5 linked regions of the Sus scrofa genome follow. The protein of the gene in region 3 interacts with the protein of the main gene of each other region in a pairwise test. Links are inferred from orthologs where the notes say so. Each region holds a gene or a part of one and is shown on either strand. Other genes may lie near its edges.

Region 1 (4,446 bases), on a different chromosome or scaffold from region 3:
TTTTTAGTACATTTGAGTTAATTACTGCCATCAAAGGAAGAATCTCCATATAGGCAGAGTCTGAATTAGGTATGGTTTTGGTCCTCATAGTTTAGGCAGCCTGCAGTATTCTGATATTATCATTTCTATTCTCATTATCATTTTGTCACATTTCCTAAGCTTTCATTATGTATCAGTTGATTTTGTAATCTTTTTACATGTTTTATGTCATTTAAATTGTATAACTGAGGTAGATTCTCTTACTTTCCCCATTTTATAGATGAGGGAGCTAAAGCACAGATAGTTTAGCTATTTTTAAGTGGTAGAACCAGAATTTTTGGTGGTTGTATTTTCAGTCTTGCCTGTACAATTTTATTTAACTTATAATTACAATATGTACTAATAGGGCTTTACAACTGTATCACCATGTAAGCGCTTCAGTGAAAAATCAAATTCAAAATTTTAACTTGAGTGCAGAAATGTATTCTCTCTGCAGTACCCTCACTTGCTTCTGCGGCTTTAGCACAGTTCAGTTATTATGTCCCCCTTTTTTTTTTTTTTTTTTGCCTTGTTTCGAAAGTTCTGCTTCTCTCAGTTTTGTTATTAACCCAGTTCTTGTAGGTATTTGGGTTTATAACATTCTCCCACCAGTGGCCAGAAGAGATAGGGTGGCCCTTATTCTTCCTTTTTCATAGTTTAAGACTTTAGTATGAAATAGCTTTCATGATTAGAAGTATAATTTTGGGCAAATTACACTCTCTATGCATCAATTCCCCCTCTTTAAAATGGGGATAAAAATTATTATTTCTCTCTATGCATCAATTCCCCCTCTTTAAAATGGGGATAAAAATTATTATTTATCTTTCAGGTTTTTAGGATTATATGAGAAAATGAATTTCTCTTGCTCAGTACACATACCTTTGATAATTAATTGTTAGACCTGCCCTTTTTTTCTTTCTTTCCATGAACTCCTCCATTTGTGTCATAATTTAGAAATTTTTTTGTTCTGGAAATAACTAATTTTTCTGAATTGTAATTGAGACCCACAAGACTTGATTTCTTCTTCTTCACTCCATGAATTTTTAGTAACAAATCGCCTCTGAATCTAACTTTGTTTGTTTTGGTTCCTAAAATTTGATTAGTTGTATATATAGATTATTTGAAATGGGTTACACTGAAACACTGGTGCTGTATCCTTTTAAGTTACTCCTTATTTTCTTATCTAGACTGAATATCAAAGACCTGAGAATTTTTAGTACATTAAGTTAAATGAAAGCTGTTTGAATCCATTTCATCAGGATGATCCAGATAAGGACTTATATATTGAGTTTGAGGAAGAGAACTACAGGTCTTACGGTGGGCTAGATGAATAGGTAGGGTATAAAATATGCATTGTCTTTTTTTCTCCAGAGTATTCAGAATATAACTAATTATGATTGCTTACACAGGTTCCAGCAACGGATAGAAATGCTTTGAGTTCACTCTGGGGAAAACTGGCCTCTGAAATCTTAATGCAAAATTGGGATGCAGCCATGGAAGACCTTACCCGACTAAAAGAGACCATAGATAATAATGTGAGTTACACATTTTCGGGGTAGTTTTCTGAAATTTCTTTGTATCCTTCTTTTTTTTTTTTTTTTTTTTTTTTTTTAGAGGAAAACACTGTGTACTTTAAAAAGGAAGGGAGAGAGACTAAACTAAAAATGTTGACCTGACGTAAAAATCATCATAGGTTAGTGAGTTGATAAGTTTCACTGAATCTCCTTGAAGGAAGCTGTCAAACTTCTTTTGGCTCTTAGAAAAAGTAACTTAATTTTCCTTTTTTGTTAGAGCTATAGTGCCTTTTTTTTAACTTGTGCCAGTGAAGATGAGACAGTACTGGTTAGTGTCACTCGTTAGTGAAAATCCCATGCAGGAGAGAGTTCCAGTTGTGGCGCAGCAGAAGCAAATCTGACTAGGAACCATGAGGTTTTGGGTTCAATCCCTGGCATCACTCAGTGGGTTAAGGATCCTGCATTGCCGTGAGCTGTGGTGTAGGTTGCAGATGTGGCTCAGATCTGGCATTGCTGTGGTTGTGGCGTAGGCCAGCAGCTGTAGCTCCAATTAGACCCTTAGCCTGGGAACCTCCATATGCTGCAGATGTGGCCCTAAAAAAGGGGGGGGGGGGCAAAAAATAAATAAAAAATGGCTTAGTGGACATTATTGAATCTCGTGTTTGAGGGGCAGAGAAATTTTGAATGTCAAGGGTCATGCAGAAAGTAGAATGGTCTAAGGGATTGGAATTCAATCATAACCTTAGAAGGTTCTCATTTTAACTGAAATTCTGAGGTCAGCAATGTTTATTCCCTTTCCTCTTTCTCATATAATATTTCCTGTGTATATATATTTTTAACCCTTTAGTCTGTGAGTTCTCCACTTCAGTCTCTTCAGCAGCGAACATGGCTCATTCACTGGTCTCTGTTTGTTTTCTTCAATCACCCCAAAGGACGTGATAACATTATCGATCTCTTCCTTTACCAGCCACAGTAAGTTATTTCATTGTATAATTTTGGCTTTAATTATATGAAATCAAATGCATTTTTTAAAAACTTTTAAGATAAACTTTTGTCCAGCATTTGAATTTATTGTCACATTTTTTTCCCCTCTTCATGTGGTAGATTTGCTTGTTAATTGAAAAAGCTTACATGTAACTCTTAAGTAAATTACTTGACAAAAGTATACTCTAAGCCCTTGAAAGTGCTATTTAAGTATTGTCCATGGGCCAGCAGCATCGGTATCATGCAGAATCTCAGGCCTTATATTAGAGAAACTAAATCAGAATCTGTAATGTAACAAGAACCCAGGTAACTCATATACATTAAAGCTTTAGAATTAAGGCTCTATGGCATATTATTTGAAAGGAAGATTTACATTCCAAAAGAATCCCTTTATATCATCTTTACTCCATCATTCAGCTTTTGTTGATAAGAAATTCACTGCTTTATGAACTAGACTGTTCTGTTAACTAGAAATCATTTTTAAAAATGTATTCTTTCAGCTGAGGAAGGTCAGTGCCTCTGAATCTTCTGCCCATTATTTCTTATTTCTTTGGTTGCAACAATGGAAAACAAGACTGCTCTATGAAAATAATTGAGATATGTGAGGATAATTTTACTTATCTTTCTTTCCTTCAGGCTAAATATCTCTGGTTTTATCAAATTGTATAGTAATGTAGTTTTTCAAATTCTTTAATATTTTGGCTGCTGTTCTAGATAATTGCCACGCCACTTTACCCACAGCCTTCTTAAAATCTGAATCTTTAAAATTGAAAGCTTCTTCTAGGATTTTTGCTCCTATGTCCAGTACATACTGCAAGCCCAGGCTTGCAGTAACATAGTTTAACAATTGGTTCTTAATAGGACTTATTGAATATATCGTTGACTAAATTTCACATGAACACTTAGAGCCATATTTTTGCTCTTTTTAACCCAAATGAAGACAGAGATCCTATTACATTTCACTTGATTTTGTTTATTGCTATTTGTCAAATTAAGATTTGATTTTAACATTTTTTTCCTAAAATGCATATATATTTACAAAAGTAAAGTTTAGGAATAGACGGAATAGCTTATTTTTAATTTTTTTAGTAATTTTTTAAGTCTTGAAAATAAGGTAATAATACTTTAGCAATATTTTTACATAAGTTGATGAAATATAATCATTTAAACCAAGTCACTTTAATAAGCATGTTCTTTAAGTGCTCATTTTAGTAAGATTTTTAAGACTAAAATATTTGACCTGTTCAGGTAAGTTGTTAGCATAACCATGAAGACTTTGAATTTAAGAGAAATTAAGTTATTGGTGATGATACAAAGGAAAAATACTTGCCAACCAAGAAGTGCCAGTAATTCTTTAATGTAGAAACAGGGAGCCATTCTTATTCTTAAATGGTGTAAATTGTGTTCTCTGCACTAAATGCTAAATGTTCTCCTCAGTCTGGCAAATAGAAGCACTTTCATTAGAAGTTTATTTTTGAAATAACATTATAACTGAAGTTTAGTACTAATGTATTTAGTCAGTATTTGCATGGCATACTGGTCCAGTTTGTTAAAACTGAGCATGAGCAGGAAGTTCCCTTGTGGCACAGCAGGATAAGGTATCCAGCATTGCCCCACCTGTGGCGCAAGTCACAGCTGCAGCATAGGTCTGGCTCCTAGCCAGGGAATTTCCACGTGCTGTTGATGTGCCCCCTGTCCCCCAAAACAAAAAACTGAACATGGGCAAAGAAGTTTTTGTAACAGAAAATTATTTTTGTTTTTCCTTGAAAAAAGAGAAGCAAAATGTCCACTGTATTAACTGGGAAAGAAGACAGTGTGTGATATTTGCCTGCATTCCAGCAGTAAATTTTAATTGTAAATTACAAGAGAAAATTTTATAATTTATGTAGCATTATAGTAATTTCTTTTTTTAATTAGAGATACTTTTTAG
Region 2 (5,084 bases), on a different chromosome or scaffold from region 3:
GAGAACAGTAAGTTTTAAAAGGGAGTTGTTAAAAATGTTTTAGGAGCCACGCATGGAGGACCCATGCAACTGCTGCAGTATGTCTCTTTAATGACCGGAAATTTTCTCACCCTCAAGACAAGAGTCCCTGTTTTCTCGATTGACCCACGATTCAGCCCACATCACTCAGCACTATTTCCGGGTCCGTCATTTAGGCAGAATGCCACCGAGACGACGTTAAAAGCGAAACCCATGGTTCTCGCCTCCAACACATCTTGTTCCCTTGCCAACGTAGGGTGCAACGACCTGTCCCTCAATCACTGACCCCTCCCAAACCCACCAGCCCTACCCCGGGTCTCCATTCCACCCACCCTTGGGGGCAAGGGAGTCGCGATTTCTGGTTGGCTCAGCTCAAGTCTCCGCCATCCGCCAGCTCACCTGCGGTTGGTTGGCAGAGCGTGCGTGGGAGGTGGGAGGGCTGAGCCTGCAACTAGGCTTTCCCCCCATTGGCTGATGGATGGGCATCACGTGGTATGAAGTGGCTCTCTATTGGCCGAGAATGGTACCATGGGTCCAGAGGCGTGCACTGGTTGGCTGGAACGACTCCCAGCTTCCTACTAGGTGCCCCGGCTGGCTGTTGCTATGAGCTGTCCCCAGGCCTTCTGGCTGCGCCTGGGGCTTCGCTCTCCCAGTTTTCCAAGCGCCCGTAGCTGACAGGGCGTGGGAAGAGCTCGACTTCCAGCAGACGCTGAAGAAAGGCGGGGCTGGGGGGAGGTGGGCGGGACTCCCGGCGACGTCACCGGGCGTGGGCCCGGCTTCCGCATGGTCGCTGGCCTTTGCCGCCTCTGGCAGTGGGCAGGATGAGGGCCTGTCACTTTTCCCTCTGTGTCTTGACGCTTAAAACAAAGCTTCACTTCGGTTTTATGCTCGTCCTTTAAACAAAGCCTTTTTTCGTTATGTTTATACAGGACAAAACCAAAGCTCACAGGCTGGGTGGTGTCTAGCAAGGCCCTCCTGCCAAGGCCTCCTTTTGGACCTTGCCGGTGTCTTCTTGTCACTCCCCGCCTCAAGTTAAAACCTAGAGACTGCTCTGGCCCCGCCAACATCGCGTCTCTGCCAAATTCTGAACTTGGCGTGCTCAGGCCGAAGCGGTTCCCGTCGCGGGCAGAAGAACCGCGCGTGCTCAGTACGCAGGATCCGCAGGGTTCGACGCGGCTTGCGGGGTGGGGTGTTGTTGGGTGGCCCAGGTGGTTGTTTATCTAAGCGCGGGCCGAGGCTTCCGCACGGCGCAGAGCCTCCCGGGAGCGCGCGAGGCCGGTCGCCTAGGCGACGGGGGAGCAAGGGCGGGGCTGCGCCACCGGGTCCCGCCCCGGGCCGCCGGGCCCCGCCCCCAGCAGCGCTGCGGCTGGGGCTCGGGCGCGCGCTCCGGCGCCGAGGGGAGCGGCGGCGGCGGCGGCGGCGGCGGGCGGGGAGCTGGGCGTGGAGGCGCGAGGGGCGGGGCGGGCGGCACTGCAGGCCCGCGTTTCGGGCGGCTCCGGCGGCTCCCTGGCTCCCACTCCCTGCTCGCCCTCAGTGCCTGCCGGCGCCCGCGGGGCCGCATTGCCGCCGGCTCGGCCCATGCCCAGGGCTGCTGCTCCCTCCGCCGGCGCCCGGGGGGCCGCGGCGGCCGTGAGGTGGGGGCAGCCGCGGGACGCGGCGGGGCCGGCCGCCGGCGCAGGGTTGGGGGGCGCAGCGCGGCGGGCGTAGGTCTATGTCGCGGGCAGCGGCGGCGGCGGCGGCCGCGGAGGGACGATGCGCGAGTACAAAGTGGTGGTGCTGGGCTCGGGCGGGGTCGGCAAATCCGCCCTGACCGTGCAGTTCGTGACCGGCACCTTCATCGAGAAATACGACCCCACCATCGAGGACTTCTACCGCAAGGAGATCGAGGTGGACTCGTCGCCGTCGGTGCTGGAGATCCTGGACACGGCGGGCACCGAGCAGTTCGCGTCCATGCGGGACCTGTACATCAAGAACGGCCAGGGCTTCATCCTCGTCTATAGCCTCGTCAACCAGCAGAGCTTCCAGGACATCAAGCCCATGCGGGACCAGATCATCCGAGTGAAGCGGTGAGAGGGCCGGGGGCGCGGGCAAGGGGCTTCGCGGTGCGGCCGGCAGCCCCTGTCCCGGGGCCAGAACTCCCTCCCGCGTGCTCTGGGGTGGCTGTGGGCAGGAGGAGCTGTCTAGGCAGGTGGCTCTGGGGTCTTAGGCTTTATCCTAAATTTTTAGCTGGTAGCATCCTCCTCGTCATCTTGAATCTCAAATTTGAGTGCTTTGTTTCACAACTCAAATTTGGCATCCGGTGAACCCACAGCACAGCTCTTTGTCTCTTGGATATTATTAGTAGCGGTTGTGCAGAACCCCAAAGGAAACAAAGTTTAAAACTTGCAGTGGGGGGAGAGGGGCGGGTAGGTTTCTGCTGGGAGGAGGCAGCTGTGCAAGTATAGCGGAGACATTTTCAGACGGAACAACAAAAAACCTCCCTTTGCAGCATTTGACAGCAAAAATTGCTTACACAAATGTGGTAAAAATGTCAAGTCCAATGGAAAGAGATCTTTCTCATTTCATAGAAGATTGAATGGTGGCAAGGCGTTTTACAAAAATGAACTCTTCACTTAAGATGAAACTTTAGAGACAGGTTATCAAATTATTTGCAGACCTGGCTCTGTGGGATTGAGAGAGTATTAGTATGTAGGAGCGCGAATGTACTATCACATTAAAGAATGTGGCTTAACTTTTTTTTTTTAATCTAGCCACTTTACCCCTCAGAAACAAAAAGAAAGGGAAAAAAAGAGGCATTCTTAAAAATAGAATGAGTTTCTTCAAAGGTGTGACTCAAATATTAGCTAATTTAAAGTTAAAGCAGATAAGCTCTTTCCTGTTACAAACTCTTTTCGCAAGTGTGCATTTTGGAAATATAACAGCCTAATGGCTTCTGCTATTTGTTTTATATTTTTTCCTATAATTTCTAGCATCAAAAAATGCAATAGTATCTCAGTTCAGAGTTTTAGCAAATTTTTCTAATTACCATTTAATTACACATTACTGTTTTGTCTGATTCTTACTATTAGTTAATAATTGCCAATAATTTTGATTCAGCATAATTTTGCTTTTCTTTCCCAGTTGTACCAGTAACCCTAAATTTGTAGACAGTTGCAAAAGCTAGTTATAAGTGTTATCATAGACATAATCTCATTTTTAGTCAGTTTGAGTCTACTCATTTTGAAAGAGCAAATACCAAGTCAGGTGCACGCAAGCTTTGCTCAAAAATTCATTACAAGAGGCGGATTTTTAATGCCACATAGGAGATCAAAGGGGAGGTCCTCTCCCCTCCTCCTTTAACTCATTGAATATGCCCTTTAATAGCTAAACTAAAATTTCGTGTGTTATTTTATATGTTAGATTTCAAGCTGGAATACAGTGAATGTTTTCATGGCCTCTGACAATGTCCTAAGATCTGTGAATCTGACAGCTTTTTACTTTTTCAGTCTCATTTCTTAAAGTTAATTGCTATAGTTAACATAGGAACCCTTTTGGTGTTAAATTTATTAAGTATATGATATTTAAGAGGCTGTATTTAAATGACTCACATCTTTAATTCCCCTCATACTGTTTTAAAAAACAAAAAACCTTTAGAACAGGGCAATCTACCACATTGTCACATGTCAATCTTAGGCCAAGTACATACATCAAATAGTAAAGTAAACGCCCCAACTGCTCCACCCTTTGTATTTAAACATATCACAGATAATTCCTGCGTTGATAAAGTCACAAGCCCAGGGCAAACTTCTTGGCACAAACTTACAGGACAGAATATGACAGAATGTTATTGGATAGTATAGTCCACATGATTTTGTAGTTTACTAGAGGTTACCAAGAATGAGTTAGTCTGAACTTAGTGTGCTAGAACGATTTATTTGTTTGCACTGTGACCCAGGAAGAAAAAGAAGAATAAAATTCTCCTTGCCCAAATGTCATTGTACTCACTAGTCTCAGTTGCCGATGTGTACAGTTGAAAAGCTCAGCTGAAGTGGACTTCGTAAACTCTTTTCACTGGAATCATCCATTGTGCCCATAAGTACCAGTTGGGCCCTTTGTGTCCTGCTGTTTTTTATCTCACCTTAACTTCATCATCTGGCCTCCCATCCTATAGCACATTGTAAACAGCTTAACACTGAAGGAGAGAGGGAATCGGTGTGTATGACAGTATACATTATGCTAAGGCGGCATTCAGTATGATGGGTCTTTAACTTCTCCCACTCAAAGCGAATAAAACATGATTTTCAAACAAGCGGATTTTCCACTCTTTTGGGGAATGAATTTTTAAATTAATGAGTTGCCGCAGCAGGTATTCAGTACTTGTTCCCTGGCCTCTGCCAGCTAGCTGCTTTGCATACTCTATACAACAGTTGTTTGGGATTATTTAATATCACCATAATGCCAATGACATAAGCGAAGTGCAGAGAGGTTTGGTATTTTGCCCAAAACTAGTCCTTGATGGAGAAGAGATTTAAATCAAGATCTGCATGACTCCATGTGCTCTTTCTTCTACATGAGGCTGCCTTTGAACTTGACATTTACTGGCAAATTCAGTGATCTAGCCTTTGGTCTAGGGCAGCACTCTTCAGTACGAATATAGCGTGGGCCACGTGTAATTTTTAAATGTCCAAGAGCTGATTTTTTATAAATGTGAAGCAGGTGAAATTAATTTTAGTAATGCATTTGAGTTAACCCATTCTATCTAAAATATTATCATTTTAACCTGTAATCAGTATTGAAAAATTGAGATATTTGCTTGGTTTTTCATACGAAAAGTTCAGAATCTAGTATTGAGTTTGCATTTACTGCACATAGACGTGCCACATTTCAGGTGCTCCACAACCCCGTGTGACTGCAGACGGTGGACAGTGCAGGTCTGAGGTGTACAGATGTTGGGAAAATGCTTGCTTCTGTAAAAGCTCCCTCTCCCTTGTTTGTGAAACGGAGTATAGTTCACCTCTCAGAGTCTTTGTTAGGATTAAATGAGATAATGTATTTTAAGGTGTTCAACCCAAAACCTTGAACACAAA
Region 3 (5,063 bases):
GGGGCTGGGGGTCACCTGTGCCAGGGCATGTGAGTTGGCGCTGAGCACATGGAGCGTGTGCATGCCTGGGCGGCCAGGTGGGCTTCTAGCACACGGATGCCCCCCCTTCCCCCTTTTCCTTCCTAGCTCGGCCACCCACACACCAGCTGCCCAGAACCAAGCGATGCGGAGCTAGGCAGAGGGACATGCAGGGTGTGGGTCTGACACACACAGTGGGTGGGAGGGGGCACTGGCAGCAGATCTCTGGAAGGGGCTTGGGGGCCCGAACACCTGGCTTCTCAGCGAGGAAGGAAGCCAAGGGACGCCCATGGGGCTGAGGGACTGGAGCCCAGCAGCCCCCATCCCTCTTTCCAGTCCTGCTTGGAGCTCCGGCCTCCTCTGCAGTCCCCACGCCTGCAGTCACCACCTGCCATTGCTGCAGCGGGGTGGGGCAGGGGTGAGGACGAGGCTCCCAACGCCCCGTTATTGTCCCACTGTGGGTGGCACAGCAGGGGCGAGGTATCCAGGGATGCAGGGGCTGCTTGGAACTGTCCCTTTTTTTTCTAAGCTCATCAAGCCCTGCAATGTGCCAAGCACTCTGCCTGGGTATCTCATCCATCCCCACGGCAGACCTGGGAGGAAGGTCTCCTCATTATCACCCACATCCCCATGTTACAGGCCCGGTAGCTGAGGGTCCAAGAGCTTGAGTGATCTGTTCAAAGTCATGCAGCCTGTGGAGAGTCAACAGGTAGGGCTGATTCCAAAGCCCTCGCTCTTTCTGCTACATCTGTGGCCTCCTGGTGGCTGCTCAGTAGAGGCCCCTGAGCAGCCCCTCCCTCTTCCAACCTCTGTCCTCTACTCAGCAGGCTCCAGCCCTTGAGCACTGGCCTCTGGGGCTCTTGGACTAAGCCCAAGGACCTCCCTCCCTTCCCTTTGGGCTTGGAGTTAGTCTGGCCTGAGATCAGAGCCAGGTCAGTGCTGGGTTGCACTAGGGAGAGGCAGCCTGGGTGAACAAATCCTGTGTCCTTGTGATACCGATGTGGCCTTGGACAAGTCATTTAATCTCTCCAAGGCCCATTTTCCCAAATGCAGACAAGAATAATAGTATTTGTCTTATCAAAATTTGGTTCAGATCCCAAGACATATCTGGAAGGTGAGTGTACAGGTCATTGGCCAGGGGTGGTGAGGAGCCGGGCCTTTAACGGGATGGCCAGAGGAAGCCTGAGTTTAAGGCATTATCTGGGCTTCATTGTGCAGCCCCTCCCCCGTGATTTCTTCTGGTCTTTTGGGTCAGACCTCAGTGGGGGCCTGCAGCCGGTTTCAGCATGGCAGCCATCTGCCATCTGCCCTCAGGGGTGCTGCAGAACTGGTCATCGCCCCCGGGAGCCCTGTGGTGTGTTCCCTGTTAGGAGGTGCAGTGGCTGCTGCAGGTTGCCATGGAGACAGGGCAGCCAGGGCCCAGGGGAGTCCTTGGCCTGCTAAAGGGAACTGTTCTGGGAGCTGGAGGCAAACCACATGACAAGGATGAGGCAGCAGGGGCCTGAGAGGTTTCTGAGCCTTTGTCATGCTTCCGATCCCCCCCGGCAAAACTCCATCCCTCACACCCCAGCTCTGAGCCCACTTCCAATCCACCAGAGCCTCTGCTTCTCCAGCCTAGGCCAAGGGGAGTTCCCTGCTTCCCCACACCCTCAAGAGGCCCAGGTGTCCTGGCAGGCAAGAGAAAGGAGAGGAACCTAGGTGTTGAAGAGAGAGGAGAGGGCCAGGAAGGATGTCCTCGGCATGAGGCTACGGGGCTAGGCTCCTCTGGGCTTTCTGTCATTACCATTCCTTGGTGGGGCTGTTACAATGTTACAATGGGGATGAAGCGCCCAAGGCCCAGAGTGGTTAGGAGACTTCCCCAAGTTTGCACAGCTAATAACTGTTAAAGTAAGAGCTTGAACCTAGGGCCATCTTTATTTACACCAGCCGACAGGGTTTGAGGGTGAGCATAGAGGCAGAGGTTTGCATTTGGGCTGGGCCATTGCTGCACTCATTCCTGCTACAATATTCTGGGTGTTTTTGCAGGGGTCCGATGTGCACAGCACTGTGCTAGGCCCTAGGGATATGATGGTGTGAGACAGACGCAGTGTGGCTGCGTGTGTGCCCAGAACCCTGGAAGGAGCTGTAGAAGATGGGAGCCTGGGCGTCAGGTGGGCACTGAGTCCTAGGGGAAAGAGCAGGGCCAAGGCCTGTGTGCAGGCAGGTGGGGCTGGCCAGGGAAGACAGCTGAGCTCTGCACTGGGAGCACCCTGCCCTTGGAGGTGGCATAGGGGAGAGGGGAGGTTGCAGATGGAGAAGGCAGCTGGCATGGGGACCCAAGGGGAGAGATGAGGGCAGGTGAGGGCCGAGGGACAGGGGCTGAGCTACTGGCCATTCCTGGCTTCAGGGCAGGGCCGGGAGGGTGAACCACTGCAGGCCTGGGAAGTGGGAAGGTTCATTTCCTGAGCCTCAAGAAAGCGGGCAAGGCTTCTGAACACTGCGACAGCCCCACCCTCAGGGACCAGTGGCTCTGCCCTCCCAACCTCCTCCCGGCCAACCCAAGAGACCCAGGCTTCTGTGGTCAGGCCCTCAGTCCTTCCCAAAGCAGAGCTAGTGCCCCACACTCTTCACTGCACTGATTCGGGGACATTGCCTACATGCCCAGTTAACCCTGCCCTAGGCTGCAGCTGCCCAGACATGGAGGAAGGTACATCCCTGCTCCAAGATTTAAGCATCAGCATCTCCACGGAAAGCCCCACCCCAAAGAGGCCAGGCTGACGGGGAGAGTGAGGGTATGCTCGGAGGGATACCCCCTGTCCCCTCGGTTCTCCTCAGCCCACCCAGCTCCCGCCCCCAGCAAGGGAGCCAGCCATCCTCACCCCTCCCCCTCGCACACAATGTCACTTCCTGGTTCTACAGGAAGCTGCAGTGCTAATTAAACACCCCTAACCCCCCGGGCTGCAGGCTGAGCAGAGGCCTGGCTAGGCCTAGAGGGGTAGGCATCAGACCTCCCCAGGCCTGGCCCTGAGGACAGTGGATGCGCTTCTCTTAACCTTGCGCTGCCTCCCTTTCCTCCGCGGCTGCTGTGCAGCCATCCTCCCGCGGGCACTCTCAGGCCGGGTTTCGGCAGCCCACCCCCACGCCTCTCCCGGACCACCCCACCCCCGCCCGGCGGCGGCGCCCACCTGCACACGGTGATCAGGTTCCTACGCTCCACGGCCACATTCCGGGAAGATGCTTTCTTGGAGGACAACCCCAGAGCCATGGTGGTCTGGACAAAGCTCGCTTCCATCCAGATGTGTGGCCACTGCTGCCGCCGTCAGCTGCCCACCCGGCGCCGCGGCCCCCCCCAACAGATCACGGCTGGGCCCTCTGCCCGCCGGGGCCCCTCGACCCCTCCAAGGCCATCCTCTTGCCGCTGCGCCTGTTGCCCGGCCCCCTGGCTCCCTCCCCAGGCGGCGATTCCGGAGCAAAACAAGGCCGGGGAGGGAGCTCTCCGAGGTGCTGAGCCGGGGCGCGTCACCCCCCCCTCCCCTAGCCTCCCGCCCCCCCTCGGCAGGTGACGTCAGGGCCCTCGGGCCCCGCCCCCCGGCAGGCCGGGGACCAATCCGCAGAGGGTGCAGGATTTGGGGGCGGGGAGGGAGAGGAGAGCACTGGGCCTCAGGGAGGACTGAAGGGGGTCCCCGGAAGACGCAGCGTTTGGAAGGAAGAAAAGGGGCATCTGGCTTGTCCTCCACCCCCGTGATCAGAGCCCGGTACCCCACGCTTCGCATCTCTGAGCTCCGACCCCTCTACCCCCTTGTTTCTTATCTGCGATCAGTGGGGTCTAGCTCAGATTTCGCCCCCTGATTTCTCCTCACCTCCTGTACTCTCGTCTCAGCCTCGGCCCCCACCCGTTCAGTGTCGGCATTCCCAGCGAGGCCAGAACCAATCCTAGAGACCAAGGAGCAGTGAGAGCCTGCGTGACTGTCTGCGCCCGGGGGGGAGGGGGTGGACTTGTCTGCAGCAGCCGGCTTCTAGGGTGGGGGATGGGAATCCAGCCTATGCGGTAGGAGCCCAGCGCCTGGGACTCCTCTGGACAGTGAATGGAGCAGATTGGCAGCTAAGGGCCTGGGCTCTGTGGAGGTTCCCAGCCGCAGAGCTGGTGCCCAAAGTAGTAGGAAGGCAACTGCTCCTTCTCAGGGTCCTACGTCCTCACACCCCCAGGTGGCTTGAGGGTTAAACCCCTTGGCTACCAGAATTGCTGCAGGGTGCCATCAACTCTCTTTGCAAGGCCAGAAAAGCTGGTTGCATGTTTTGGGGAAAGATGGGGAAATGGAGGCACCGGCCGGCTTCCCTGCCACCTTTCGCTCTTTCACATCTCCACTCGCATCTGCTCCATTCCTCTATTCAGCCTGTTCTCTTTCACCCACTCAAATGTCCACCTCCCATAGAACGCCTTTCCATGTTGATAACAAGGGCTTCACTCAGTTTCTCCATCTGGCCTCAGAAACATCCATTCCCAGGCTCAGCTCATATCCATTCACCAACTCTGCCCATGCACTGGATTTACTCTGCTGGCTGGTGGATGGTCAGTATCTCTGCGTTGATTCAGATGTGCAGCTACATCTGACTACGACCAGCAGGCAAGGACCCTTTTCTAGCGCAGAGAAGGAGGTGAAAGACCTGCCAAGGTCCCCAACCTTGGTCTGTCTCCCTGGGGGCTGGATCTCCTGCTCAATTCTTGGCTTCTGGGACCTCAGAGTTAGTCTTCTCTGTCCCTCCTCTCTGCCTTTTCCCTCTTGCCTCATCTCTAGAAGCCCCTCTTAACATCCTCCTGCCTCCAGACCCATCCCCAGGGGCAATCACAATGTTTGTTCTTTTGTTTTTCATTGCAGGATATATCAGATGCCCAAAAGAGCACCTAAAACACATGTGTGCAGCTTAAAGAATGTTTCCAAAGCACAAGCCTGGGATGTAATCTCAATGATCAAGAAATAGGACATTGAGGGCGTTCCCATCGCGGTGCAGCGGTTAACGAATCCCACTAGGAACCATGAGGTTGCGGGTTCGGTCCCTGCCCTTGC
Region 4 (3,460 bases), on a different chromosome or scaffold from region 3:
TGAATTCATAGTGGCCCATTTCCACATCCTAGCCCCTCCCCCACCCTGCTAAAACAAACAAACAAACAGAAAAACCACCAAACTTGGAAACTTTGCTGTTTCTTGAAGACCAAGAACTGTAGCCAGCTCCCTTCAACCGACTGTCGTGACTGGGCACCAAGAAGTTAGATTCTCTCCAATACACCAACAAAGGACTATATTTAGCTCTGAGATCTCCGCCTAAATTCCTTATTTTTTTCACTCTTAGCTTCAAAACGACTAGGATGGGGAAGTGGGAGGAAGGGGGCGGGGAGCAGCAGAGAAAGAACAGCTGTGCCTCCGCCTCTCAACTCAATCTCTATAAATAACCAATCACGAGCGGAGTCTACTTTTTAGCCAATGAAGCAGCCCAAACTGATAAGATCTTGGCAGTAGCCAATGGGAGAGCATTTGAGGGTGTGAGATTTGCGCCCCGGGACCAATGGGTCCAGAGTCTGGGAGAGGTAATTTGAGCTAGAGTGTGGGTGTGTGGTGCACAAGCTTCCTACTTCCAAGCCCCCAAACCTGCTCTGTGCACTGAGCATGCCCTGACTAGCTGCGGGCGCCACCGCCGCTTTGGATAGGACTGTAATCCGCTCTCCAGATTTTGGCCCCAGCTGACTGGGGCGGGGGAGGGGGCGAGTGGGGGGGCGGGGTGGCCCGCGGAACCCTAGCCCGAAGACAGCTCTGGTTAGTAGAGGCAGCCCTTTCCCTAGTCGCAACAGGGTTTCAGACCCAGCATTCCCGTTTTCTTTGTCCCAGAGATGAAAGTGCGGGAGAGTAGGCCAGAGAAGGTCGGGTAGAAAGAGCTGCGCCTTGGGTAGGGGAAGATGGTCTTCCCGCCAAACACCCAAACGTCCTTTGGGTCTCAATCCCGGGAGACACACCCTCCGGGGGTCTGGGAAGTGGGATCTACGGGCTCTGAATGATGCGAGGCAAGAGCCCAATCCTCCCTATTCCCAGGGAGGAGTGAGGGGGTGGCTGCCGCACCCACTCGCTTCTCGAAGAGCCTGAGCCCCTATGTATGAACCCAGAGCGGCGAAAGAAGGCTGCCTCCAACCTCCCACTGGAGCTCTCCCAGCCCGCCACAAACACCTACACATCCCGGCACATTTGTCCTCTTGCTGGGAGACCAGAGCCTCCGGCGAATCCGCTAGTCCCGACTCAAATCGCGAGCCCCACCCACAACCCCGCCTCCGCCCGGCTCCCTGGAAAACCAGGAGCAGCGGATCCGGCGGGAGCGGCCGGCGGCGGCGCACTGGGCATGCTCGTCCGGGCGGGGAGGGCCGGGCTGCGCGCGGCGAGTAGGAAGCCCTCGCCCCGCGGAGGCTGAGGAAGAGAGCTCCATGGGCCGCGGCGGTGGGCGCACGCTCTGCGGGGACTCATGCCACGCGCGTCCCGGCCCGACGCGCAATTAGCTGCCGCCTCCGCAGCCCGCTACCTCCGCCGCCTCCTCGCCCTTCTGGGCTGCCGCGACGAGAAGCTGCAGCCTTCGCTTTGCACAGGCTGCCGGCATTGTCCTCCGGTTCCGCCGCCCAGGCTGCCGCTGCCGCTGCCGCCGCGGGCTGCTGCGGGGCCCCGGACCTGCGCCCCAGGGACGCGCTGCCGCTGCCGGCCGGCCCGGCGCCCGGCCCCCGCTCGGTGATTTCCGCGCTCTGCGCTCCTCGGCCATTTCGCTCCTGAGTTTTTCCTGCGGAGCTGAGGAAGGGTAGAAGTCCAGCCGCCAAGCCCAGCCTTACTACGGCGCGCAGCCCCGACGGGCGAGCGCCGACGGAGCCATGAGAGAGTACAAAGTGGTGGTGCTAGGCTCGGGCGGCGTGGGCAAGTCCGCGCTCACCGTGCAGTTCGTGACCGGCTCCTTCATCGAGAAGTACGACCCCACCATCGAGGACTTCTACCGCAAGGAGATCGAGGTGGACTCGTCGCCGTCCGTGCTGGAGATCCTGGACACGGCCGGCACGGAGCAGTTCGCGTCCATGCGGGACCTGTACATCAAGAACGGCCAGGGTTTCATCCTCGTCTACAGCCTCGTTAACCAGCAGAGCTTCCAGGACATCAAGCCTATGCGGGACCAGATCATCCGCGTAAAGCGGTACGAGAGAGTGCCCATGATCCTGGTGGGCAACAAGGTGGACTTGGAGGGCGAGCGCGAGGTCTCTTACGGCGAGGGCAAGGCCCTGGCCGAGGAGTGGAGCTGCCCCTTCATGGAGACATCGGCCAAAAACAAAGCCTCGGTGGACGAGCTGTTTGCCGAGATCGTGCGGCAGATGAACTACGCGGCGCAGCCCAACGGAGACGAGGGCTGCTGCTCGGCCTGCGTGATCCTCTGAGGCGCCCGCGGCTGCCGCGCGCCGGCCGAGCTCTGCGCACAAAAGCCAAACGCACCCGACTCTAAATGTGATTTCTCTTCTTGCTTTGAGATTGGAGACGACTTTGCATCGGCCGGGGTGTCCCGGGAGCCCGGCTGGCCCCCGTGGCCATGTCCCCTGCCTCTGCCCCGTGTCCGAGGGGGTGTGCCGTTCTGACCATCCGAGACCCGATGGAAATGTGGCTCTTTGCGGCATGTACGTTTCTCATTGATTTTGGTTGACGCGTTATTTCCCCATTGACGCAGCCGTTGGGGCGCTGTATTGGCAGCTTGACACCGGCAAGCGAAAGTTTCAGCCTGGAGAAAAAAAAAAAAAAAAAAATGGGGTGGGGGAGGAAGAGGACGGGGAGAAGGTTGGAAAGGGGGAGTTTTTTGTTTTTGTTTTTCTGTCCAAAACCGTTTTTCTCGTTCCAAGTTTTAAATACTCGGAAGGAAGTCCGGGAGAACCAAATGAAGGAGCAGGAGGAGAGGAAAAAACTTTTGTTTTTTTTCCTCGTTTTCCAGGAGTAGCTGGAAATTAAGATCGGGTTCCTTTTCTGCCAGCTTGGAAGGGCAACCCCGTGACTGATTATGATTCTGAGGATGTCTATGCAAAGTTGGATTCTTGTTACAGTGTATCCAATCTGAAGTATTGCACATCTGAACTGGGACTGTTAACACTGATGCCAATACAGTGTGGGGTGCCAGAATGTGTCTGCTGATATTTGTGGAAAAAAAAAATCTATTTTTGTTTACCTACTGTATCAAAGGGGAGTCTGGGGGAGAACGGTAGTATTTTTTTTTATCAGCTGTGAAAAAAAATGTTACAGATCTGCACATTTTTGTGTGTACTGTTGTGTGTGTGTGTGTTTTTAGATTTAGCTTTTTGTTCTTATTGGTTGGCAGTAACAGGTTTTGATGACTAGCTCTTTAAAACACAGTACAAAGACTTCACAAATGTGATTCAGGGCCCCCAGCACCCCTGTGTCTGCAGAGTGCCTTCAAAACTCAGCTGTTCCAGCCGGTGCCAACCTGTGAATTTCCCACCAGATCCCCTCAAACCACTTCCCCATTTCCTTTCAGTAATCTTCCTGA
Region 5 (4,912 bases), on a different chromosome or scaffold from region 3:
TTCTGGCTCCAACCGCTACACTGGGTTCCCAAGAGAACCTTGTCACCAGGTCCAGAGAGGACCAAGAGACTGCAGGTGTGTGGAGGCAGGAGGCCAGTGCTGTTGGGCCACACCTAGTGCAGTACCTGACCACTCACGCACTAGTGTGTCTGTCTTCCTTTTTCGAACCGCACTCCTGGCATTTGGAACTTCCCAGGCTAGGGGTCAAATCGAAGCCACAGCTGCTGGCCCACATTGCAGCCACAGCAATGCAGGATCCGAGCCCTGTCTGCGACCTACACCACAGCTCATGGCAACGCTGGGTCCTTAACCCACTGAGCAAGGCCAGGGGTCGAACCTGCAACCTCATGGTTCCTAGTCGGATTCGTTTCCACTGCACCATGATGGGAGCTCCATAAATGCTGTTGAAGAGACAACAGGGTGGGGGATCCAGAGAGCCCTCTGGTGTCAGGGGCCCAATTCTGTGCTAGATGCACCGCTGTGGAGGAGCTGCCTCCTCTCTCTTCATCTCCATAAAGGAAGGTGGGATGTGGCAGACAGCTGTGTGCTGTTCCTGGCAATTGCGCCCCCTCTGGCTGCAGGACCCGGGTTTCCTTCTGTGCAGACCCAGGTGCCATGGCCCTGTCCCCAGCCCCAGTCTGGCTCTGACTGGCTACAGCCATAAACTTTTCCCTCTGGCTAGTCACTGCAGGAGATGGGAAGCATCCCAGGCAGGGGCAATGGAAAACACTGTTTCCAGGGGGTTTCAGAAGAGGAAATTCTTCCTTTCCTGGACAGTGTGCTATTGTAGCCCACAGAGGAGACATGCTGGCGATGCCGGCTTGGGGGGTAGGAGCAGGGGAGCACGGTTATCATGTGGCCTGTGGGGATGAGAGACAGGTTTAGTTGGCACTGCTTGAGCTGCAGGATTAAGTCTCTTCAGGAGTGAAAGCCAATGGCACCCTCCGGGTTTGGGGTTTCAGTCATGGGCGCAGTCACTGGCAGCTCCTGTTCTCCCGCACCCATCCAGGCGCCTACCCTGCCATCTCCTCTCCACCCTGCCCTCGCCCGGTCTTTTCCACATCCTCCCAGGTTCTTCCACTAATCTCGGTGGAAGTTTGGGAAAACTTTAGTAATAACGATTACCGCATCGGACGCGATTACAACACTGCTGTCCGGTGACGTAAAAATTCATTGATCCTGGGAGCGCCTGGTACAACCGATGAGGAAATGAAGTCAAACCCGTCGATGGCTCCCCGCTGTTTCCAGGAGAAATGGCTGGAAACTACCCTTTCTTTTCTGTATGGACTCGACTTGTAGGCGAGAACTTTGAGAATATGGCATTAACACGTGTGCCCCAAAACCTGGTCTCAGTAAAGGCTAGAGAGTAATGACCGCGCCGGCTGCCTCGAAGACCTCCGACACCGCCACCCAAGCTCTGGACCCCTGCCCTGCAGGACGCAGTCCCGGCGGTAGGAGAGCCGCCCCCACTCCCACTGCCCGGCAAGGGCCCTGCCCTCCCCTGGGCCCCCGCGGGACCCCCCAGAAGCCTGCGGCTGCAGCGGAACCCTCGCGACCTCACGGACCCCGGCACCAGCTGTGCGCCAGGACCGGAACCGGCGTCTACGGCTAGTACTTCCGGGTCGCGGCCGCGGCCTCGCTAGGGCGCCGCGGGGCCTCCTGGGTAACGTGCCCGGCCCCGCCCGCTCCGGTTCCGGCGTCGGGTGAGACGCTGACGGGCAGGCGGTACAGCCAATCGCCACAAGGCGGGTTCGGGCCGCCCACCAGTCGAACGAATGGTACGCGGCGGGGCGGGGCGGTCGCGGCCGTAGAGCGTCGCGAGGAGCCGCCCTACGGGGAAGGAGCCCGAGAAGGAGTCGGCGGCACAAAATGGCGGCGGCGACGGGGACGGCCGGGACCGGGGCCGGGGCTCCGGGCTCGGCGGCCCCCGCGGCAGCGGCCGGCACGCCGGGCTCGGGCAGCGCAGCCCCGGGATCGCAGGGGGTGCTGATCGGGGACCGGCTGTACTCTGGGGTGCTCATCACCCTGGAGAACTGCCTCCTGCCTGACGACAAGCTGCGCTTCACTCCGTCCATGTCGAGTGGCCTCGACACCGACACCGAGACCGACCTCCGCGTGGTGGGCTGCGAGCTCATCCAGGCGGCCGGCATCCTGCTCCGCCTGCCGCAGGTGAGGGAGCGGCCGCGAGCCTCGGGCCGAGGTAACCGCCGTGCCGGCGCCGGGGGAGGCGGCGGGGCCCTTTGTTGGCGGCAGGGCCGGGCGGCTCGGCGCCGACGTCCGACCCCAAGCCCGCTCCTAATTCCCACCCGGGCCCCGGGCCCAGCGCGTCCCGGAGGTAGTGAGGGAGGCAAAGCAGCGGGACACGTTTTAGTTTTTGGTTGTCAGGAGTCTCAGGAAACTCAGTGACTTAAGTATGAAACACTCAGAGTAGGCGTTTGGAAAGGATGGAAACTTTTCTCTTCTGTAGGTGGCCATGGCTACAGGGCAGGTGTTGTTCCAGCGGTTCTTTTATACCAAGTCCTTTGTGAAGCATTCCATGGAGGTAAGACCTCCTCCTCGTCTGTCTGTCCCGCAGAAAGGGGGGAACCGGAAACCTGGGTTTGTTGTTTTGCCGCGTTGCTCAGTGGAGTGAGTCCTTGTCTTCCACCACCTGCAGCGCTGTCCTTAAAGGCTTGGGGAGCCCCCTGTGCGGTAGATAGGTGGCCTTTTTCTCCCGGTACCCCTCTTTGCTCTCAGCTGGTTTTAAGCTGTGGGAGGTGTCGCCGCTGGAGCAGACGTCCGTGTTGCGTTGCTTCCATTTCAGCATGTGTCAATGGCCTGTGTTCACCTGGCCTCCAAGATAGAGGAAGCTCCCAGAAGGATCCGAGACGTCATCAATGTGTTTCACCGGCTTCGACACCTGAGGGAGAAAAGGTGCGTCCGAGTTAGAGCTGTTGCAGGTGTGCGTGTGCTCGTTCTCGCGGCTGTCCAGTTACACGGATGTTTCTGAAACAAGATTCAGGATGTAAGCTTCTACTTGCTCGCTTTTCTTTGTCATGGCCGCACCTGCGGCACATGTAAGTCCCAGGTTAGGGGGCAGATCAGAGCTGCAGCTGCCAGCCGTCGGCACAGCTGCAGAAACATTGGATCCAAGCCACATCGCAACCTACACTGCAGCTCTGGGCATCTCTGGACCCTTAACCCACTGAGTGGGGCCAGGGGTTGAATCTGTGTCCTCATGGACAGTGTCGGGTTCTTAACCAGCTGAGCCCCAGCGGGCATTCTCGGGGTTGTGAGGTTTAAACTTGTGCCCAGAGGAGCCCTGGTGCAGAGGGGGCCGACCCATACTGTTTAGTGAGTGAAGAGTGGTCAGGGAAGTGTGGCAGTCGTCTTTCTGGCATCGGTTTCCTGGTGTGCCCCCGTCAGTCTCTGAATGCTCCAGAGCTGGCTTGTCACCCTCAACACTGTTTCCATTTTTGGGTGGGTGATGCTTTGTGGGGGGCTGTCCTGTGCGTTGTAGGGTGTCTAGAAGCATCCTTGGCCAGGCCTTCCAACCTCCAGCCAATAAAACAGCCTCTGCTATTGAAATGCTGTACTCTGCTGGTCCTTTGCTTTCCCATTCACTTGTGATGCACATGCGTCTTGAGCAGGACGAACCAGGAGCAGTCCTTGGGTGAGGAGCTTGTGAGACCCTCCAATATGTTCAGTGGCATTTCTCAGTCAAACACAGGGAGAGAAGTTCACACTGGCACAGTGGGTTAAGAGTCCGACCGCAGCAGCTCAGCTCACTGCGGAGGCGAGGTTCAAACCCTGGTCCTGGTGCAGCGGGTTAAAGGATCCAGTGTTGCAGCTGCGACTTGGATCCATTCCCCATCCCGGGAATTCACAAGTGCTGTGGGCACGGCCATTAAAACAAAACAAAATGGAAAGAAAACGGGAGAGCCTTCCTGAGAAGGGTAAGCTGGGTGGCGCTGGGGTTCGAGGAAGCCGGTAGTCTCGCTGGTTAAAGGAAGCCGACTCTGTTTCCGGGAGGCTGTCGGCGGCGGCCATCCTGGGTTGGACAGATTCTGTTGTATTTAATTCTCACTAGATGCGTGCTCTGTCTTTGTAGAAAACCTGTGCCTCTCCTGCTGGATCAAGATTACGTTAATTTAAAGAATCAAATCATAAAGGCGGAAAGGCGAGTCCTCAAGGAGCTGGGCTTCTGCGTGCACGTGAAGCACCCTCACAAGGTGGGTACGAGGCCCCGCTGCCGCCCCGTGTCACCCAGATTGGAAACGGAAGAGGAGTAACTGGGCCCCTGACTCCAGTGTCCCGTTTGCACTCTAACCTGGAAATAAGTTTTTCCGTGGTCTTGTGTTACGTTAATTTTAATGGCGTCTTTTTAAGAGCTTTGAGAACTGCATCTTGGGTTTGAGCTTTTCAAGATGGGAATGAACTTGTCAAAATGAGGTGTCACTCTGCATTTTTTTTTCTCAACAGCTGACTTTCTAAGTTGTTTTAGTGACAGTTAAACCAATTTTATCATTGATTTCCACTGCTGTCAGCTTCTGCTGTACAGCGGAGTGACCTAGTCCCGCCTGCACACCTGCATCCCTTTGCTCGTGTTCCTTCGCATCACGGTCCATCACGAGTGATGGAACTAATTCCCCGTGCTGTCCAGCAGGACCCCATTGGCTTTAGTGGTAACCTGATTTCCTGTTACGGGGGAGTCGGGAGAATCCTGAGCCCTTTTCCTCAGGAGCGCAGCACACTCGCGGTCGAGCACGCAGTTCGTGCGCTCCTCCCACGTGACACACCGGCACAGCATGCTGGCTTCATCTTTTTTTTTCTTTTTGTCAACACAAAAGCGCTATTTTCTTTTCTTTCTTTCTTTCTTTTTCTTTTCTTTTTTTTTTTTTTTTTTGCTTTTTAGGGCCACACCCTTGGCATA

The links.
Region 1: the proteins of RUNDC3A (region 3) and EIF3E interact in binary tests that used the Homo sapiens proteins (3 or more experiments, as listed by UniProt). The two-hybrid records come from large-scale screens. The link is inferred for Sus scrofa from reciprocal best matches to the Homo sapiens genes RUNDC3A and EIF3E.
Region 2: the proteins of RUNDC3A (region 3) and RAP2A interact in binary tests that used the Homo sapiens proteins (3 or more experiments, as listed by UniProt). The link is inferred for Sus scrofa from reciprocal best matches to the Homo sapiens genes RUNDC3A and RAP2A.
Region 4: the proteins of RUNDC3A (region 3) and RAP2B interact in binary tests that used the Homo sapiens proteins (3 or more experiments, as listed by UniProt). The two-hybrid records come from large-scale screens. The link is inferred for Sus scrofa from reciprocal best matches to the Homo sapiens genes RUNDC3A and RAP2B.
Region 5: the proteins of RUNDC3A (region 3) and CCNL2 interact in binary tests that used the Homo sapiens proteins (3 or more experiments, as listed by UniProt). The two-hybrid records come from large-scale screens. The link is inferred for Sus scrofa from reciprocal best matches to the Homo sapiens genes RUNDC3A and CCNL2.

Annotation. Positions count from the first base shown.
Region 1 is NC_010446.5:29,305,457-29,309,902, forward strand, and holds part of EIF3E (eukaryotic translation initiation factor 3 subunit E), read left to right. Parts: intron 1-1,427; coding exon 1,428-1,553; intron 1,554-2,379; coding exon 2,380-2,504; intron 2,505-4,446. UniProt on the Homo sapiens protein: Component of the eukaryotic translation initiation factor 3 (eIF-3) complex, which is required for several steps in the initiation of protein synthesis.
Region 2 is NC_010453.5:66,677,488-66,682,571, forward strand, and holds the start of RAP2A (ras-related protein Rap-2a), read left to right. Parts: upstream 1-1,674; 5' UTR 1,675-1,770; coding exon 1,771-2,084; intron 2,085-5,084. UniProt on the Homo sapiens protein: Small GTP-binding protein which cycles between a GDP-bound inactive and a GTP-bound active form. In its active form interacts with and regulates several effectors including MAP4K4, MINK1 and TNIK.
Region 3 is NC_010454.4:18,926,225-18,931,287, forward strand, and holds the start of RUNDC3A (RUN domain-containing protein 3A), read right to left. Parts: upstream 3,502-5,063; 5' UTR 3,290-3,501; coding exon of another isoform or gene 3,183-3,289; intron 1-3,182. UniProt on the Homo sapiens protein: May act as an effector of RAP2A in neuronal cells.
Region 4 is NC_010455.5:93,306,316-93,309,775, forward strand, and holds RAP2B (ras-related protein Rap-2a precursor), read left to right. Parts: upstream 1-1,796; coding exon 1,797-2,348; downstream 2,349-3,460. UniProt on the Homo sapiens protein: Small GTP-binding protein which cycles between a GDP-bound inactive and a GTP-bound active form. Involved in EGFR and CHRM3 signaling pathways through stimulation of PLCE1.
Region 5 is NC_010448.4:63,664,964-63,669,875, reverse strand, and holds the start of CCNL2 (cyclin-L2), read left to right. Parts: upstream 1-1,822; 5' UTR 1,823-1,869; coding exon 1,870-2,169; exon of another isoform or gene 2,170-2,200; intron 2,201-2,467; coding exon 2,468-2,542; intron 2,543-2,803; coding exon 2,804-2,913; intron 2,914-4,090; coding exon 4,091-4,211; intron 4,212-4,912. UniProt on the Homo sapiens protein: Involved in pre-mRNA splicing. May induce cell death, possibly by acting on the transcription and RNA processing of apoptosis-related factors.